Linked DNA regions of Drosophila melanogaster. The protein of the gene in region 1 purifies or fractionates together with the protein of each later gene. This does not show direct contact. Each region holds a gene or a part of one and is shown on either strand. Other genes may lie near its edges.

Evidence for each region.
Region 2: the proteins of CG9344 (region 1) and SmD2 purify together in Drosophila melanogaster (affinity purification with mass spectrometry, with the first as the bait; one large-scale study listed by BioGRID). This does not show direct contact.

Annotation. Positions count from the first base shown.
Region 1 is NT_033778.4:20,975,135-20,978,116, forward strand, and holds CG9344 (uncharacterized protein), read left to right. Parts: upstream 1-1,921; 5' UTR 1,922-2,020; coding exon 2,021-2,111; intron 2,112-2,182; coding exon 2,183-2,331; 3' UTR 2,332-2,466; downstream 2,467-2,982. Other genes in the region: CG34115 (uncharacterized protein), read left to right, coding at 460-489, 1,461-1,546, 1,605-1,722; CG15650 (uncharacterized protein), read right to left, coding at 2,594-2,982.
Region 2 is NT_033777.3:6,344,274-6,347,960, reverse strand, and holds SmD2 (small ribonucleoprotein particle protein SmD2), read left to right. Parts: upstream 1-2,049; 5' UTR 2,050-2,188; coding exon 2,189-2,190; intron 2,191-2,324; coding exon 2,325-2,682; 3' UTR 2,683-2,950; downstream 2,951-3,687. Other genes in the region: CG18048 (uncharacterized protein), read right to left, coding at 443-1,768; CG17919 (uncharacterized protein), read right to left, coding at 2,951-3,430.

The DNA.
Region 1 (2,982 bases):
AAACTATCGATTGATGATGTTGTTCTTACTGAAATTGAGAATCTTTGAATCTTGAAATGGTAATATTTAATATTAACTATGCCTATTGATAACTTACCTTCTACATTTGACTAAGTATAGTATCTTGTATCTTCTTATAATCGGAAATTTATTAGTTTAAGTTTGTCATCTTTCAATTTGCAAATTCTTGGTTATAGCACTTCTTTAACTTGCATTTCAAATATCATAAGAGATAGCTAATTAAGTCTTAGCCCAACTTTTTAAGCCAAGCTTGGAAGCTCCCGCTCTCTTCCAAGCTTTTTTCGCGCTCTTTGTGGAGCGCGGCTTTTGGTAGCTCGCCTGGCAATGCAATTCAGTTGCCAAACAAAACGCGATCGGCTAACAACCTCGTACCGCTCGCTCGCAGCTTTAGCTTTACCGTTACACCAGTGATTGAGCACTACAATATCCGAAAAAACCATGGCTAAATTGAGTGCCCTGCTGCTGCCCGTAAGTTTCAGATAGTTAAATTTGGTTTCTAGAGTGTACCTGCCAAATTAACACCTTGTGGGGGGAGCCCACAAGTCCACTGACACAATTTCCGCCTTTTCTGCGCGAAAGTCGCACCCAAAAAGAAAACCGTCTGCATTGCTCGGAAATAGTGACTTGAATTTCCAATGAGCCCGCGTCAGTTCTTCTTTCAAAATCCATTTGTTTTTAGTTTTTTCGTTTCTCCTTTTTGGCGGCCAGACAATTGACACATTTTCGAATCATATGTGGGCCAAATTCGAAGGCTCTCTCTGGCCATGGGAATGGGGAGACCTTGAATGACACGATCTGGCTCTCTTCCGCGCTCTCTTTTGGCCAAATTGAACGCCAAGCGAAATGTGTCATAATCTCCGGGCAACGAGTTGTGGCCAAGTTGCGCATCGTGGCTTTTATTGTTGGTGTAATTGCATAACCGGCGTCAACAAACCGTTGCTTTCAAGTTGACTCAAAAGCCTGAAAGCGATTTCTTGGCCGTCGTCGCACTCGCATTTATTACCACTTTCGTGCAGCTGACACAGTGAGCCATTGAGCATAAATGTGATATCTAACTTCCCCCTAAATCTAGTTTAGCCAATTCAATTAGCTTTCACATAGATGTGGTTTTTTGTTAGAAAACGAATTAAAATCGTACTTTTACTTACAGCACGACCCTGCTTTTAATTGCTGCAATCGTAATAAAATTAGATTGGATATCTAAAATTTTTAAATCATTTGGTTAATAATAATAATTTACTTCTTAACTTCAAATAAATTTACTCAAATAAATTACGATAAGTTTGAATCCTAACATTATGAGAACTATTTCTAATATTAATTTCACGCCAATAGATGGAGCTTAGAAAAATGACAAAAATTGAATTTTTAACTTTACCCAATTGACTTTTTAACAAACCAATATTTAATGTTTATTAACCACTTTCTTTACTTTCCAGCTAATTTTGTTTATTGTGGCCTTTGTGGCGCACACAACTTTTGCTACAGTGCAGCCAAAAGCACCGAACTTCCAGTACTTCGAAAGGTATGCAATTGTCAATTTAAACTATATTAAATTGAATTTATATAACAATATATTTCAGGCCCAAGTACCGTTATCCCTACTACGATGAACACGGGCGCGGAAAACTTCTCTACGGCTACGGCGGACCGGAATTGTACCAATACAAGACCTACACGCCCTTGGAGGGCATTCACTAGTCCTAAATATCGATTAGATGCAATGTAGTCCGTAATTTATGTATTCTATTATTTAAATTAAACTTTCTTTATTACCCCAAAAAGTGTTTTTGAATTCCTCTCAACTTGAACAATAGATGGCGCTCTTGGTGAAGCGAATGCAATGGTCACATCGAAATGTTGTGTTGCAACCTTACCAAACCTGCAGTGTGACCGCAGCATTGCCGGCATAAAATAACAACTGTATTCACATTTGTTATTTATTATTGCTGCCAAAAGGTTTTGTAAACTGCATTTATTTTGAAATCATCTATTGAAAATGTCCCGCAAAGAGGCCCTGTCGCAGTTCATCAATCAGATACACGGACGCCCCGTCGCCGTAAAGCTGAACAACGGCGTTGACTATCGAGGTGCGTTCAATGAGTTCCCAAACACACTCATCACATTTGACAATTTTCCCAATCCACTGACCAAATTCCAGGTGTGCTGGCCTGTCTGGATGGCTACATGAACATCTGCCTGGAGCAGACGGAGGAGTACGTGAATGGGCAGCTGAAGAACAAGTACGGCGACGCCTTCATCCGCGGCAACAATGTCCTCTACATTTCCACGCAGAAGCGGAGGGTCTGAATACAGGAGGGTCTCAACTGGCATGGCACCATGAAGTTCGTAGTTAGAGAACTCTGATTCCTCTGTTTCCTTCAGAGGGAACCTGCGACAACACAAGTGTTTCATACTTCAATATTAAAGCTGAACCAACTTCTCATCATCCTGTATACAAACCAATTCCAGTAGTTCTTGATATACCCCCGATACATTAGACCTCGTTGCTTCGTTTCTTAAGTTTATTCCATAAATACACTATCTAGAGGCGCTAAATTGCAATCCCCACTCAACTGGGATAGTGCGGTGTGCCATACTCGCGGGGAATGGCGCCAAAGTGGCGCAGTTGTGGCACCGAATACCCCGATCCCAGGGCAGCGATTAGGCGCTCTCCGCGATAGCCAAACTTTCGCTCGTAGACCGGACGCCAGGAGCGACCGAAATGCGGATCGAAGGGGATCTCGCTGGGCTGCTGGAACGGAGAGTTGCCGAAGAACAGGCGGTCCAGATAGTCCAGCACCGCCTTCTTCTTCTGAAAATGCACCAGCAGTGGATTGGCGGTGGCGGCGGTGCGCGGATCCTGCGATGCCAGGTTCTTGAAGTACTGGAAGTTCACCAGATCCACATTGGAGAAGTCAAAGACCCCGGGCAGATCGTGCAGCGTGGCTTGGACTCGCA
Region 2 (3,687 bases), on another chromosome or scaffold:
TCCAAAATATTGTTCATGTTGGTAAATTTAAATGTAATAAATAGTAAAAGATAAGTTCAAAATAAGCTATGTCATTTGTCAACATTTCCGTAACTCTTTTTTGTAACAATATATAAATTTTGCATGAACATTTTATGGTAATGACACCATTTAAATTGTGCAAAATAGCTCGATATAAAAAACATTAATTCTACAACTAAAAAAAATTACCTATGCGGACCGCTTCAATAAAAATGTCTTCCTAGCTAATAAATATTTTAATAAAGCGAAATAAAAATATGACATTGCATTTTCCTAGTTAAATATTTTTCGTCACAAAAGATGACATCAGAACATTTTTATGGCGATGGTGCGATCGTCACTAGTTTTTAGTAAATAATGAAAAATTTAAATCCAGGAGCAGGATATGAATTAAGGAAGGAGAAAAGTCATTTTACTTAAGTCAACAGCATTTATTTTGGTCCAGCTTAGGGCTGGTCGGTCTGGCCAGCAGAACCACGTTTTCCAAAGTCACATCCCTGGGAACATAGAACTTAAGTTCTGCTTGATATCCGTGGGATCGTAGATGCTCCAGTCGTCCATAATCCAGAACCCGCTTGCACTGTTGGCCAATTTGTTCGCGCTCCTGGCGAGTTAGACGCTGCGTGTTCGTCTCGGTGAGCTGAAAGTCAGCCGATTCCATGGCCTTACGCCGCTCTCGGCTTAAGCCCGTGCCACAAACTGCCCAACTGACCATTTTGGTTAGGATAACGAACTCCCGTGGTCCAATTCCAGCTTCCTGAAGAAACTTGCGTCCCACGTAGGAGCGCCAGGAGCAGCGATGATGACAACACAGGGCGATGAGAACGTAGTCCGAGCTGGCATTTCCATCACCGAGTATACATCTCAGGGTCAAGTCTGTAGCTGCTCCACAGAGGTGCTTCGAAAAAGCCACCGTTCGTTGGGTTTTCTTTAGCTCCGGCAGAGCAGAAAGCTTAAGATCAGCGATATCAGCACGGATACGTTGCACCACCTCCCTGTTGGCCAACTTGTTGTCCTTCTTGTGCCGCAGGGACATTCGATCGATGAGGACCACCTGTGAGTGACTCAACTTCTGTTCCTGCAATACGGTGGCCAAAAAGTAGGCCAATTGTCCCTTTCCGGCTCCGAATTCTATATAGCTCGTGTGATCCATCAACTGGTGATCGTGTTCCAGGATGCCCAGCAAGCTAGTGGTCTGGGTGAGCTGGCGTAGCGTTTCCTGGCCGTAGTCCTTGCGACTAAGTTCCTCCTTTAGGGATTCGTGCTCCAGCTGCAGTTCCTGTATGCTGGAATTGATGTGCTTGTCATACAGATTCTTAACTTTGTCGATCAGACTGTAGAACTCTTCATCCGCCAGTTCGTGCAGTTTTATTTGATTGAATTTGTTCAAATCTTCGTCTGTTTCCTTAAGATTGTCTCCAGAATTCACTCCTTTTACAATGTAGGGCAGTGAACTTTCCTGATCCCTGGCATTGCAAATGGTCAAGTGTTTGGCTAGTTTTCTTTTAAACACGGTATGTTTGTGATCAAGCGGGCAGGGAATACGTTCCTGGAAGGAATCTTCTCTAGCTTTTTCATCGCAAGTTGCAGTGGTGGCTGCCGATGAGGCATGGGCTCCACAAAACTCACTGCCCTTGTTTGCAGTCATCTTGCAGCGGCGCTTTTTGCGTAACACCCAGTAGGAGCAAGTGGTGGTTACCGGCTTCTCCGCCTTGACAGTGGTCATCGTCTCTTTCACAGGTTCCATTCGTTACTTTTATTTTCAAAATAAATTCCTCCCAATTCGGAACTCGTGCCAGGCAGTGTGACCAAGGCTGGCACACTAGATAACACTATTACCAACTTTTCACAAAAATGTTTTAACTATGGTCTTAAATATGTTTACACTTCTTACATTGAATATTTTAATAAGTTTTTTAATAAAAAACTCAAATTGAGCTTGATTTTTCAAAATAATAGTTTATTTAATTTACGCGAATGCCAAACGCCGATAGTTAGCTTTGAAATTCAGGGCTGGTCGAGTGCAAACGTCCTCAGAGCTGGTAACACTGCAAAAAAAACGAAGCCGCGCTGAATACTTTTGCCAACAATAAACGCAGAAAACCAACTGAGAAGCGAAACAAGAAGACTATCAACATCATTTAACAAGCCATAGTTATAATCCGCTATGTAAGTATCCCGGGGCAGATGGGACAAACCATCGGAAATGGCGTAACTGGCAGCGGCATGTGCGCCGGCATTTTGCATTGTTAGCACCACGCTCGAGTTGTGGGTGAAATACTAATGTACTGTGTTCTCTGCAGGGCTCTTGTGAAACCGAAATCGGAGCTGACCCCGGAGGAGCTGGCGCGGCAGGAGGAGGAGGAGTTTAACACCGGCCCGCTGTCCGTGCTCACGCAGTCCGTGAAGAACAACACCCAGGTGCTCATCAACTGCCGCAACAACAAGAAGCTGCTGGGCAGGGTAAAGGCCTTCGATCGGCACTGCAACATGGTACTGGAAAACGTGAAGGAGATGTGGACGGAGCTGCCGCGGACCGGTAAGGGCAAGAAGAAGGTGAAGCCCGTGAACAAGGATCGGTTCATATCGAAGATGTTCCTGCGAGGCGATTCTGTCATCCTGGTCCTAAGGAATCCCCTGGCCACGGCGGCCGGCAAGTAGTCTACCATAGCGATAGCGTACAGCAACCAATATCCATCAACTTCAGTTAATAAATCCGTAAATCAACCAAATAAGTTCTGTGGACCAAAATGTGCCATTAATTAAAAGTGTGAGCTATAATTTACGACGGAAAATATCCCATCCCAGTAACATATCCCATTATAAATTTGTATAACGAAAGTACAATCCGTAATCGCAATTTCTTATATTTTGATTAACATCTTTTAATCGATTTTTCCTAAAGTATCTGTTTAAGATTAAAACGGAATCAATTCTCCGAAAGTTGCTTGTGCAGTTTTGGAACATAGTCGTCGTACTGGGCTTGGTAGAAAGTTCCAGCAATGGGATTGCCCAACTCGTGATTGATGGCAAACTTGGCGGCACTGAATTTGGGGCGATCCTTGCGGGATCTCTTGCTCACGCGCTCCTCGTCGAACTCAAGTTTGCCGGACTGCTTGTACAGCAGGAAGACGTAGCGATGCAGACCCGTGCCCTGGGGCGGGCCGGAGCCAATGTACTCGGCGATGGGCTCACCACTTGCCAAGTCGTTGCCGGCGATGTTGGCCAGAATCCAGTGCTTGAACTCGCGGAACTTGGGCTCCGCTCGGCTGGGGGCATCGGGATCCGTCATAATGAGCGTGTAGAACTCCCCGGGCTGCGCGTCCCACTCCACGACTGGCTGATCCTTAACCTGGGTGGGCGTTAGCTCCACTCCATCCTTGGCCACCAGGTTGTTGCTGTACGTGACCTTGAATAGGAACGATTTCACAGTTATTTGCTTGATTTTTACATTGTTGCGATCTATCAGCTACTTTACTTTAAGTTAGCTACCTTCTGACCTTTGATCAGAAAGTTGTGACGAGATATTTATCTAGATTTCTATTAAGCTCGGGTGTTAAATGTTTGAAATATTTTAACCTGGTCTGCAAGCACGTAGTTGAGTACATACTATTCGGATCCAATTTATTAAGACAAAGATATCCTCTATATATTTGGATCTTTTTA